2 linked regions of the Drosophila melanogaster genome follow. The protein of the gene in region 1 purifies or fractionates together with the protein of each later gene. This does not show direct contact. Each region holds a gene or a part of one and is shown on either strand. Other genes may lie near its edges.

Region 1 (7,843 bases):
AGAATTTATTTTTAGCCATGACAGTAGATGTCTGCCGTCTGAAATGGAATCTCAGCAATGGAATCGCATCATACATTGTACACATATGCATATGTACATGCCATATAGTGTCTAAATATATGTATATATGTATAGAATTTCAAATGCTCAGATGAATATCAATTTCATGAGCCCGTACGGACTGATAAGGCGGCAAAAAAAAAAGGAGAAGAGCGAGCTGCAGTTATGAGACAGATGACTGATAACCCAATTTCACTAGCTTCGCTCATAAATAATCGTTTCAATTCACGAAATTCATTACAAAGGCGGCTACTAAGTGGCCCCTGCCCATATCACTCATACGACATGTTGTCCATATCGCACACACACACACACACACACATACACGTACATATAGAGAGCGAGACTCCGCATAATTTCCGCATTCAGTTGCAGATAAATAAATAATTGAGTCAAATTGAAATGCAACTCGCCAAACAATTCAGCTCAAGCACGCAAATAAACTTCCACAAGGAGTCCAACAATGAGATGATGATCATTGTTGTCCGAGCTCCGAGCTGCTGCCCCCGCTCTTCGTTTTCTTGGGCGGTCTTCAGTTGGATCGAAATCCCCTCCACCAGCTGGACACCCATCACCAGTTGGCCCCGCTCAGTCTGGCCGGCGGTGGTCAGTGATTTATGCCAGCAGCATCGGGTCACTTTGGACCAGGATCGGGAATAAACAAAACCCAAGGAGAACGAAACTGAAGACTGAAAGGGAAGGTGCACGGAAAGAAATGGTTGAGTGGCAATAATCAAACCCGCTAGATCATAATTTTATAATTTGATAGAAATTACTCCTCTTCTTAAATAACCAATTCAATATAATACAATATTTTTACAAGCTTTTTATAAGAAAATTTCGGAATTCATGGTAAATTTCGAAGGTTTTAGATTATGTATTTATTTGATATTGTTTTGTATGTAGTTAAGATTTTTCTAAGTGCACCATCGAAGTTTCTAAGACTTTGGACGGCAGCAGCAGCCGCCGCAGAAGCAACAAAACAACAAACAGCCAAGAACTTTCAATTCCAATTTGAAATGGTGCAGAACGTCAAAAGATTGCCGACCCCCTCACCCCCTGAAGTCGCCATACCCCGGCAACCCTTCTTCATTTCAATTCCAGTGATTCTCCAAGAGAGCCCCTCACCGATCACTTGAGCTGCTGCTAATTGTCGGAATCGAACTGCGCACACACACACAAGCGCACTGGCGAAAGAGCACACTTATTCACAGGCAATAACGGCATTTCCATATATGTATTTATAGCTGGGCAAGTGCAGGAGAAAAGAGAAAGGGTGCATGGGGTAGTGGTGCAGTGGTAAAGTGGGGAGAGCGACTGATAAAGACCATTTATCAAAATTCATTCATTGAAAGCCTCAGCTGCATCTGCAATCGATGAGTTCATCTCTCTCTGTCTCTTCTGCTCTTCGATTGAAGCGGCTCTTAAGCGATCGGCTCTCTTTTCGCGGAACGGAAAAGGAAATCATTTGTTCGGCTAATGAAGCGCCAAACTGGTTGCAAAACCCATTGCGAGAACAGTTTTAGAGCCATTGCCTGAGAGCTGTTAACTGTTTAATAAGTATATTCAAATGATGCTGGAATAAATACCCTTAAAAACATTAAGTATGAATATATCTTACTCATAGCAGATAATTCCCTTTATAAATTTCTTTATAGATTGTAAATAATGGCATACATACAATGTGTGTTTCTAATCAAAACTAATTCCAGCGAAAAATGTGAATCCCCTTCTATTCAGATTAGCTTAATGCACCCAGGATATAATTAATTATATCGTTTTCAAATACTGTTGCAAGTGAAACAACTTTTTTTGTAAGCCTTCGCTTATCGTGAGGGTAACACGAGCAACGGTAGCTAAGCGAAGTCAAGTTTTTCATCGTTTTGCGGTTAGTCCTCCATTGGCAACCCACAAGACCTGGAGACCTGGCAGCTCTCACTCGGAATCCGGGAGTTAGGGTCCCAAGCCCATGGCATTGACCACGTAACCGAGTGCGAAAAGAGCTGTGGATCGGATTACCAAAGTCGTCAGACGAGCTGCACACTTATGATGGCAAACACGTGAGCGATGGGGCCAGATTTCCAGATCCCAACGAATTGAGTGCACGAATTGTGCATTGAGTTAACTGCTCAACTGGTATGAAAACTAAACTCTGATCTCTGGTAAAGGCAATAAAGTCAAGCCAAGCCGATAGCCTCTGCGACTGCTGGCGACACTTGTTTCAATTCTAAAGTGTATTTATTCTAAATTCGAGTCTAGAAAGCCATGTCGCAATCAGCGGAACATGCTATCAATGGCGTCAATGCCGCCAACATAGCAATAGGTCTAATTAAATGTGTGTAGATCAGTCGCAGCCTGATAAGACCAGCCGAATGCCATCAAAAAGTAGGTGCCGCCGGCATGTGCTCCATTTTTCATCCAGCATTACGAAATCTCTGTGATCCCTAGCCATTTAAATATTAATACTCAATTTAATTTGGTACATACACAAGGTACACTGAATTGGGCAACTCGGTGTTAAAAAGTAGTGCATAGTTTTTGGGGCAACATTGAGTATTGCGTTTGCCTCGCACTTTTGTGTCAAATCATTTTTGTGTTTGCTTAAAAAATCATTCATAAATAAATGAAATATTCGCAACCTCAATGGTTAATGTGTCTTATTTTGAATAATAATCTATTCAATTGGGGTAATAACTAAGAACCTGCGCATTCTTTGTTTTTCATACTCATTCCCGTTTCATTTTACAAATGATTATATGCCAATTAAGCGACTAATCTGGCGGTTATTAAATATAATTCTAATTGCCAGCCGGAAACGTTCAATGGCGAACCACAATTGGTATGCCAAAAAAGCAATGTCCTCCAAATTGAAAGATTAGGGGGGTTATCAATGGGCGTTATCGCCAACCTCTTCACCTACAAAATTATGTTGCCAAAATTATTTAATGACATAATCGATCCCAAGCTGGACTTGGACTTCATTGAACCCCCGGAATCGGGAACGAGCTGAAAGGAATTATCTGTCGAAGCCAAAGAGTTGCAACTACGCGATGTTTTCATGCCGGAAGTGTGAATAAATCAGAGAGTGCAGTGCTGCAGAATAACAATAACAATAGCAGCGGTGATTAAGAGTCGAGCTCCGAGCTGACCCAATTTTACATAGTTGTTTATGGTTGATACTATGTAAATGCGAAATCAATGACTACGGATACAGTTTGGAGAGCATTGGTGGACATGATAATTTTCTTTCAAAGTTAATTAAGAATATTATTGTTATAAGCTTCAAGTAACTTAAAAATGCTGCGTTAATGAAATAGGCATATACAGTTTGACAAGCACTTTGGTTAGTATTTAGCAATCTCATAAAATTCAAACGGTTATGGTCTGAGAAGCACTTTAAATAGTAAGAGCCTTATTTTAAATATCATTTCCTAAGTTGTTTTAAGACATAAAAAAAAGTTGAAAAAAGTTATTGCACTACAATCTATACATTTCTCAATCCAAGTCTTTAAAGAGCTGTCAATTTTTGGATATTATACTAAGCATTTCGATTGCACTTACCTTTCCATCCGCCAAGGTAACGGAAACCAGGCTGCCCAACAGATAAACGACGCCCAGAAGACCCGAGAGATGCCTTAGATCTCTGGGTAACATCCTCGCTGGGTCCTTTGGTCCTATCCGCAACGTATTTATGTCGCACTCTATCTAATTGCCTCTGTCTCTCCCCGCTTAAAACACACACGAAACTGCCAACGAAATAAGCATAAAATTAGAAATTGAAGAATTTTCGATTCTTATAAAATGCCCTCAAATAAAACCGACATTAGCAAATCAAGTATTAAAGAGTTGACGATCGGAAAAGTGTGGGAAACTAACAGAAAACGCTGATTTGCTGCTGCTGCGATCGTCGGGCACAGCACTCTCCCCACATGTGGAGATCGTCTAGCGTTCGAAGTATTACTAAACACGAGTCCCGCTAAAGAAATTCGAATTCTTCGCCCGCACACTCGGCACGCTCGGCTCCACTCGTAAAAGTTCGGCCGTTCGCGATCGGCTCTCGGCCCACCAATACTATCGCAAGTGGAAGTTGCAGCAGTGTGAGTGTAGTAGGCACAGGCCAGGGACAGGCCCGGATGGATGTTTTGGATGGAGATTTGGATGGAGGTTTGGATGTAGATGTGACTCCGGGCTCTGGTTATGGTTCGGAATTTAGCACTTTGACGCCTTGAAACGAGGAAATGAGGAGCAGAGCCCTCTAACCAAATCAAAGCGGCCCGATTCTAAGCATACAAATTCTATTTCCCATTTTGGTACCGTATCCCTGAAGGGGTATGATCAATCAGATTCTCACTTTGTTCTTTTTATTAGGCACGTCTCTTGGGAAAATACAAATTATTAAATAATTTATTAATTAATGTTACTATTACTAACTATTACTAACAGGCACATACCATTTATACATAATAACCATCCGCATATAACTTAAATGATAGTTCCAACTAGCGACACACGATATTTCTTGCGGGGTAAAAGCTATTCTAATACTCAATCCCAGCTATCCTAGTGATTTCAATACAATTAGATGCTAGTTTGTTTGTCGCGCTTCTCGTGATTAGGTTAAGGCTTTTTCATTTAGTACTTACATATATGGCATATGTGAGGCTGATAAGACGGATATGGCTGAGTATTTCCTGTTAGAACGAACTACTGATCAACTGAAAACCGAACATGAGTTTTAAGCTCCAATAAGTCCGACGCAGAAAAGCCAAATGGGAACCTTTCGAAATTCGAGCCTGATTTTGGGTTTCGGGGCCACAGTGTTTTGAAATAAGTCTTGATAGGGCGGCTATAATCAAGGCCTCGTTCTAGTTGGGAAAGCTCTTTTGTTCTAGGGTACGTGCAAGTCGGATATGGCCCAGTGGCCTGAATATATGTCTTCTCAGGAAACTGCTGTGATTAGGATATTAAATGATGTCGCACTTCGGCAACTTAAAATCTTATTAATTTATGTTTAGAGCGGTATTAGTAAGTATTATGTCGTACTTACTATCAAAATGAATGGATCTCAATAATTATTATTAATTAAATAACAATAATTATTTTAAGTATGTATAAAACTTGGCACTTAAAATGAAATTTCATTTAAGATACATTTAGTTTTAATAAAGCGTAGATAGATACAAAAAAAATCGAAAAAAGACCATTCTTTGAAACAATAATTGCATCGACATACTAAAATCAATCAAACTAAAATATTTTGTTTTAGAAAAGAATGGAATGATTTGAATAATCAGTTATATATAGCAAATAAAAATATACCAAGTAAAGCTTAAAAAGAGATTTAATCTTCAAAACCTTTGTCAAATTAATTATATCAGTTTTGAAAGCTAGAGAATATTTTTAAAACTTAGAAAAGGACTATAATCCTATTAAAAGTAAAGTATATGCCAATAAAATGTTTACACATGTTTTTGTTATCCTTTAAGTTTTAGATATTTTTATCATACTTATTGTAAGTACACACAAAATTTTGATGAGGTTATAATTAGAACATTGGCCTGATAGCGAAGCCTTCGGAATTTCCCTTGCCCGAGCACCGAAAAAAGTCCAAAAAGCAGGAGCCGCAGGGGCGGACCAAAACGGAAGCCATGTGCCCGATCTCAGGGCGGGGGCTATCAGCTAATTTTGAGATGGGAGCTGGTAGCTGCGATCTGGAAGCTGGGATCTGGGAGCCGGAGAGCTGGTTGAAGGTGCTCCCGGGGAGGTGCTCCGGCGGAACGAAGCTGATGTGCTATTGAGCAACTTAAGTCGCATGTGGCATATCAACAGCAGCGACGGACTTATCGCCAAGTTTCATTCATTCCGCAGCGACTATGTTAACTTGTGGGATTAGTGTTGCTACATACGACGACCCGTCGCCCATCCGTTCTATATGCCATGGTGCCACCACCCACCTCCCACCAGCCACCTCGCAGCCATCGCAACCGATCCGATGCCCATCCAATCCCCGTCGAATCACACGGATAGTGTACATGAGCCGTAGACCCGATCGTCGAGATCGTGCCAAGCCGAACGATCGACGAGTGAAGATCGGGGCATCGGCGTTTGGCTTTTGGATCGCTCGAACTTATACTATAATTAGTCGTGTTCCGTCTCCCCGAGTAAGTAGTAGTCTGGTCTCGGTCCGGAGCTGATCTGGCCAGCTGGTTTTAGTCTTTAGTCAGCGCTGTGGAGTGGTGATCGGTTCGGATCGGATCGCTCGGTTGTGAATGTGTGTTTCCATTAGGGTCCCGTCCCGTCCCGTCCAACCGTCCCTTAAATAGGATTTGATTCCTGTAAGGAACTGAGCTTTTACAACAACAAAATAATATAAACATAAAATATCTTAATTAAATCAGGAAGAACGCGTACTATTAATTGAAAATATCCAGCAAGTCGTTGTGCGAGTCTCGTACCAGTTCCAGTGCCTCTCAAACTGTCGCGTGTATATGCTTGGAAATGAAATGAAACGAAATACAAGAATTAAATCGTTGAAAAAAAATAAGCCAGCTCGATTTTCCCACAAATATTAAATAAAATAATATTCCTCTAAGAATATTTCCAATTTATTTTGCAACTGTTGCGAAATTAAAGTGCCCAATTCTCTGGCTCATCTTTCCAGGCCCAGCGACGGCAACATATAAACTTCAAATTCGACGAGGACAGAGCAAATAATTGTGCAGGCTTAAGTGCATAGGGCATCATGTTGCCCTTCTGGAAGCGGTAAGAAAAATGACAAAAGTTAGAAAAATAATACAAATGGTTGCAAAAATTTAAGTTAATCAAAGAAAGCAATTGTTAATTATTAAAAACCATGACAATAATACTTACTTAACAACTAATAATACTCTATTTAAAAATTTAAAATTTTTTTGAAATTTTTAATGATTAAAACCCAGTTATGGCCTAAAAAAGTATTGCCAATTTTTTTCTTTCTAATCCATTCAGAAAGAGCAAATATTAGTTTTTAAATTAATATTTTAGATATCAGCAATACAAAAATACATAATTTAAAACATCACATTTGTTCAATTTTTTTTTAATTTTTCGAAGCGCGATCTCTTAAAAACTTGTAAGCTCTCTCTTAAGCGCCTTTAGCAAACTCTCTTGAATTGACGGCTTAAGAGAGAGCTGCCAATCGAAGAGAGCTATGTCCAATTAAATAGCTAGACTGATAAGACGAAGCACAGTTCCTAACCCTCCTGATCTTCGTCGACTTCTTTGCAGGCTGCTATACGCCGCTGTGATCGCGGGAGCGTTAGTCGGTGCCGACGCTGTAAGATAACCGTAGCCCATGCCATCCATCTGGACATTGAATAATATACTCCTTTTCCCCGCAGCAATTTTGGAAGACGGCTGGTACGGCCGGTTCGATTCAGGACTCCGTGAAACACTACAATCGAAATGAACCCAAGTTCCCAATCGACGACAGTTACGACATTGTAGACTCTGCCGGCGTGGCGCGCGGCGATCTGCCGCCCAAGAATTGTACGGCCGGATATGCGGGCTGTGTGCCCAAGTGCATAGCGGAGAAGGGCAACCGTGGTCTGCCGGGCCCTCTTGGACCCACGGGATTGAAGGGCGAAATGGGTTTCCCTGGCATGGAGGGACCATCTGGTGACAAGGGTCAGAAGGGTGATCCCGGCCCATACGGACAGCGTGGTGATAAGGGTGAGCGCGGATCGCCTGGTCTTCATGGTCAGGCTGGTGTACCCGGAGTCCAGGGACCCGCCGGCAATCCCGG
Region 2 (6,308 bases), on another chromosome or scaffold:
TATTCGTCTCTCTTCTCTACTTTCAATATTGGGAAAAATATGAAATGCAATCAAGCTTTCAGTTTACTCACGTAGCACTCGTCGGGGTGTTGGGGTATCTGCTCCTCAGGATATGGATATGGATTTGGTTGGGGATACTGATCATCTTCCCTTTCCCGCTCCTGGTCCTGTCCCTGATCGGGATACGGGCTGGGATTGGGGCTTGGTTCGGAGGTGGGTTCAGCTTGTCCCTCGACTGCTGGCGGGTATTCAATGTTGTCAGCGGTGCTGTTGGACAGACAACGGTAGCCGTTGCCCTCGAATCCCTCGGTACAGTAGCAGTTGAATCCGCCCTCCGTGTTGTCGCAAACGGCATTCTCGTCGCAAACGTGGGAGCCCGTCGCGCACTCGTCTATGTCCAGGCAGACCTCCACTCCACGCTCGTCCAGCTGGGCAGCGAAACCGTGGTAACAGTCGCACCGGTAGGTGTCCTCGTAAGGAACGCAGACGGAGTTCTCTACGCAATCGGCGGTACCATCGTTGCAGGCATTCGATTCGGGGGTCACGCCCACCTTGCTCATGGCGCCAATGCGCAGAGCCTGGTCACGCTCCACATAGTCGAGTGCCACCTTGGAGATCTTCTGCAGCACCTTGGTGGCACTGGGATCTGCCTCGTCATCGCGCAGGCAGCTGCGATACAAAATCCTTTGCTCCACCTGCAGAAAACATGAAATTAACATTTAGATATCATTTTAACATATTACTTAGTTATTATTTATTGGACACAACAAATGAACGTTGAAAGTAAGGACTTGGTCTTACCTGAAGTCCCAACACACGCTGCTCCTCGGTAATATTTATATTGAGCACCTGGACAGATTTCAGTTCTCCAGGTCTTTCGAAAGTGTACTCCTCCACGTAGTCGGGTAGGATTAGGACTGCATCCGCTGCCACCGCCGGAACCTCACCATAGATCTCGATCTTCACGGATAGCTGGTCCCAGTAGTTGAGGCCCTCGAAGGTCTGATTCACATGAAGATTCTCCCCAGAATCGAATTGCAATCGAGATACATGGGTGTAGACACCGCCGGTTAGTTGGTATCCATTGGCGACACCACCCACCGACTTGGCGAACAGCCAGGGCACGGTGGTCAGCAGTGGGAGGACCAGTCGGAGCTGGGCGCCCAGTTCGGGAGTCAGGGGATTGATGGTGGTATAGGTGCGGCCTTCGCTAGTCACCACATACGACTGCAGCTTGGCTTCCTCGCTGACTGGCTGCTTGTTTAGCTCTCCGGTCAGTGTTCCTGTCACTCGGATAGGTTGATCATTAGCCAGGCAGGACTTTCCATTGCCATAGAATCCAGATCCGCAGACACAGCAATATCCTTCGGCTTTGTCGTGGCACTCGGCCTTCTCGTGGCACTGATGGGCGTGGGCCTGGCAACTCAGAGCCAAAGCGGGGGACTCTGTGAGGGACTCGGCATTGTCGGGAGACCTCACGTTCTGCTCGTTCTCAATGGGAGCCACTTCGAACAGCCAGACTCCGGGAACACCCAGGTTGGTGCTTTCGCTCAGGAAACGGGCCTACAGAGTGGAAATGGATACATAAATACATAGGAAACATAGTCACATAGAATATAATTAGTGCTACCTAATTATAATATATATACTACACTTACATTCTCCGATCCGGAACCGTTCAAGGTGTAGAAGCGTCCATCTTCAGCCACGAAACCCGCCTGGGCACGAATGTCGGGGAGACCAAGTCCAGCTGTTTCGCCCTGCAACCAGTTAAGACCGCCATCCGGATAGATGAATTGCACAAACGTGCTCTGCTCGTTGGCAATCAGTGCCACCTGGAAGGTGTTCAGACGGTCCGTCTTGGAGTCAAAGTAGCCCACATTGCGCCACGTGGCCACGATCACCTGACGAGCCTCGAATTCAGACTGGCTGCTAAAGGCGTAACGCACCAAACTGGAGGCCCTGTCGAGAATACTTTGTTCCTTGGACTCGAACAGGGAGATCGAGGTGCCCTCATCACTGAACGAGGTGTCCACGTTCGAGTAGAAGGCCGCTATCGAAGCATATTCCAGCGGAAAGGGCTGGTTCAGGTACTCGGGAAACTCGGAGTTGAAGGTGAGGATGCCATTGGTGTTGATCTAGAGAATACATGAAAGAACTATAAGTAACACAAATAAGGAATATTCGGGAGTTACATTTAAAAGATCAATTGTCTTCGTCCAAAATGGTATTTATAAATGTTTCGAAGGCGATACTCAATTGGTGTACTCAAGGTGTTATTGAAAATGTTTTGCTTATTTCATTTGAAAGATATCAGGATCATTTTGTTAAGTGTATGGGAATAAGGAAGTTCCACTTGGGATCGTTTGAAGTGGAAATACTTGGCCTCCATATGGCGTGGCAATCAGTGCGCCCCGTGAAGTGCTAACGGGCCACTTAACTCCTAATGGCCATTCGCCTGGCGGAAACAAAACAACAACAAGCCATTAAGGAGGCGGCAAATGATCTGACGAAAGGATGTGGCCCGAGATGCATATTAAGTGATCTGCTGCAGTGCCTCCTAATTGAGTCCTCGGCCGACATCCGCCTAACGATCCGCCTAAAATTAGCTGCAACTCCATCGATGCAACAGGCAATCTGAATAAACAACCCGGAATGGGAGCACAGGTGTTTCCGAAATGCCTTTCTTGTGGTTGCCGACAGGCCGTTGCATAAATCATGTCACTCTGGTGGCTCCACGGATTCCGTTCATCGCGACGGGGAAACACGGATGTCTGGAAATTCCGGCAGCTTGCCTGGTGATTTGTATGGATGCCCAACTCCACATGGATATCCAACATGCCACAATGGGTGCTAAATTGAGGTTGGGTAAGCAAACATCAAATACTTCACTCCTGCTTAGCCTCTATTTCACACCTCAATTGTGCAAAGTATTCAAAATGTTTAAATTGTTGTTAAAATTGTTTCTATTTTGCTTAAAGTGGGTGTTGCATTTGCAAACAAAACGACAAGTCCAGATTAGGAAACAAATGATATCATGAAACATAAACACGACGAAACATAAAATAGATTATTATTCCCCTCAAATGTCATTTGTAATGAAATGCAAATTCATATCCTCGAATGATCTTTTCAATATTTTTTTATATCAACATTATTTTGAATTCTTTTCGCTTAAAGGAATCTAGGCTGGCATTGTTCTCACGATTTTGCCGACTGACTGACGGACTATTGACGAGTTTATTTATACCCTTTCGTAATGACTTCGACACCAATCCGACCCAAGCGCTTTGGAGCTGGCTGGCTACAAGCTACTGGCTCCTCCGATCATTTCAAGCATTCCGCCAAGGAATTTTCAACGAAATTTATGGATTTCTATGGCCATAAAGCTCGTTTTGGCCGTTCTGATTCTGTGCCGCGTGCTATTTCTCTACGTCAGACACATAAATTTAGTTAATTAACTAACAAAATGCAGAGCAGATAAAAAAGCGCGTTCAAAAATAGGCGACACTCGCAGTAGGCTCTCAATTCGGAGAACTCATAACTTTGGCTGCCAAGTGCCGAAACCACTCAGACACTCGGATGCCCGGAGCTCTGGCATCTGGCACTTGGCCAAGGCGGCAAAGCGACATCAATGGGTTTGGTTTTCGGTTTTTGGTCTTGGACCACCCTCAAGTGCCTGCGGATTGTAGCTGCGGATGTGTGGCACTTGAGGATTATTGGGACACGGTGCGAGTGGGGTGCGTGTGTGGAAATCGATGTGCGACCTGTCATGTTTTGCCGAAAATTAATGTCGCCTATAAATACGCGGGCACCACAACAAAGCAGGCTCCCCCAGAAATAGATGCATGGTAGTCTAGAAACTATTGAACCGCGTTGTGTTTGCATATAGATTGCCCCTTATCAACGCGTGCTTATCACCTCGTCACCCTGCACGCTGCAAAAATTCATTCAGTGCACAATATTTGAGATACTTTGTAGTCTCACATAATTCTGCATCTACTGAGGGGGGTATGCGTGCTAGGGGTACTCACATAGAGCTGCTCGTACTGCTCCCCGTAGAAGTGAATGGGCTGCTCCAGTTGCAGCACGATCGTTTCGCTGTCGCCCTTGGGCAAGAGGTGTATGCTGCCCAGGGAGCCATCCTCGAACTCGTACAATTCCGAGGCGCGCAGGCTGTCCAGATAGTGCTCGAACTGTCCGCTGACCAGGATCACCGAGCTGAGCAGCAGGCAGGCGAGCAACTTACTGCCGAAGGTCGGCATTGTGGCGGGATATGGATGGGTCCTTCCTGACTTGTGTATCTCTCTACTTCTTTGACTTTGACACGCGGGGATTTCACAATTTCGCCACTGGCATTTTCACACTAGACACAAAACCGAATTCCTAAGGCACTCAAGTTTGATCCAAAAATATAGGCGATTTATAAATAAATTGTGGCACTATCTATTCGTCGAGTATATATAGAGGTTTATGGCGTGTGTATAGTTTGACAGAATTTTGGAACTGTCGCTCCAAGTGGCGGCCCAGCTCCTCTGCTTTTGCTTCTGCTTTCTGCTTTACTTTTGGTTTCTGCTTCCTAAGCACGCGAGCAAGGAAACCCGAACGAACTGCACGGTTTGCCAACAGATTCTCGACTGATTGGCCGTCGTCTCCGCGGTGGATTCTCCTCGACTCGGTGCTCATCCGTCCGTTACCATCGAGTATCTGTGTGAGCTGCTGGCCGGAGTGCCGTTTAGTTTGTGCACGTGTGTGTGGGTGAGTGGCGGAAAGCGAGAGTTTCTCTGGAGGCCCCAGATACCATACCGAATAGGATCCACACACTGGCTGCACTCCAAACCAGATGCTGTTCGATTATGACAATTCTTTATTGATGTTTACCATCAACAGTCGTCGTTGGCATGGGCTCTCGCTTTGAAGGAGTACGTAATTATGGCCAAATAAAATAATCAGTTAACAACGGAATATTGTCAGTATGGGATTGCTCATTTATTTGGTGATATTCAGAATCAGCATTTTATCATTTTAATAGACTCCATCATATGTAAGAGTAAAGGTTTAAAATATAACGCCCATAGCATACCAACTATTGAACGACTTCATAGATGTTAGTCTTACTTTTGTTAACTTAGTCTTACCAAAGACCCTAGAATTCTAGTGTCTTTGGTCTTACCACGTATTTCGTGTTCTAAAAAGGTAGTGTTTAGTGAGATTTACAGATTCTCCGGACGATATATTATAAAACATATAACCATATGGTCACCGTGGATATAGAAATTAGTTCTCCCAAGGGAGACTTCTGGGCCGGGCTTCCGTAACACATTGGTGCTACTAGATAGTTTCGGGAGTCCCAATTCCAGGGAACTGAACTTGAAGCGGGCACGTGCCGCTTGATTGCTCTTGCCCCCCAAAATTCCCGCAGCGCATGCCACCGTGAAGCGGCGCGTGGAAAGGGCGAAGCGTATGGATACCTTCTCAACAGTCACACCGAGTCCACACGCATATCCACACCCAATCCTCAGAGGGTGATGCGCACTCCAAGACATTTGAGCAGTGGCGCCAAAACAGCTGAGTTAGAGTTTTTTCTTTAAAATGGTTTTAAACTCAGTGAAACCTGGCATATGAATTAAAATCGTGCATAGTTATTTGTTAATTTAGTTTTGGCTCAAGCAATTCGTCTTAATTTTAAATAATGTAAAAATGAAAAGGTAAGGAATAAATTGGTGCTAGCAACCTTTCTAAATAATATTAAGACTCATTTCATTTTTACATTACATTCATTCGGAATCAATATTAAAATGTTAACATTTAAATAAAAAGCTAGTTCTTAAGATCTAACATCACTAATCCAGAGCACTCCCATTCCTTGGCGGGGTGTGTGTGCGAGTCGAAAATAAACAAATGGTAAACTTCTGAGGCAGCGACGCAACGTCTGCTCCCTGACTGATGAGGATCGGGTGCGGGCGAGGAGGAGGTGGAGGAGTAGGAGCAGGAGGAGCTGGAACCCAAGATACAACTGGAACCAATGACGGGGGATGGGGGTCCGTCAGTTGGACTATTTATGATGTATTTCTCGGTTAATTAGTTGCAGCTGAATGCAGCGGAATGGGTGTGGGAATGGAATTGGGATCGGGAATGCTTCCGCATGCATTTGCTAGACATCATACCAGTCATCTTCGCCCGACCAGAAGACCAATGGAAAGTGCGTGGCCCAGGGCCCGGGTAATTTTTTGCTATATTTGGATATTGCGCCGCTTGATCGGTGATGGATGCCTGCGCCTTTTCATCTGCAGTGCGTTCCAGGAACT

The links. The genes of interacting proteins can lie anywhere in the genome.
Region 2: the proteins of vkg (region 1) and Ndg purify together in Drosophila melanogaster (affinity purification with western blotting, with the first as the bait; one study listed by BioGRID). This does not show direct contact.

The regions. Positions count from the first base shown.
Region 1 is NT_033779.5:5,023,416-5,031,258, forward strand, and holds the start of vkg (viking), read right to left. Parts: upstream 4,777-7,843; 5' UTR 4,704-4,776; intron 4,031-4,703; exon of another isoform or gene 3,883-4,030; intron 3,807-3,882; 5' UTR 3,715-3,806; coding exon 3,622-3,714; intron 1-3,621. Other genes in the region: Col4a1 (collagen type IV alpha 1), read left to right, coding at 6,803-6,822, 7,327-7,375, 7,440-7,843.
Region 2 is NT_033778.4:10,312,231-10,318,538, reverse strand, and holds the start of Ndg (nidogen), read right to left. Parts: upstream 4,649-6,308; 5' UTR 4,266-4,648; coding exon 4,035-4,265; intron 2,139-4,034; coding exon 1,659-2,138; intron 1,564-1,658; coding exon 802-1,563; intron 696-801; coding exon 72-695; intron 1-71. UniProt on the Drosophila melanogaster protein: Cell adhesion glycoprotein which is widely distributed in basement membranes. Involved in cell-extracellular matrix (ECM) interactions probably by connecting the laminin and collagen IV networks.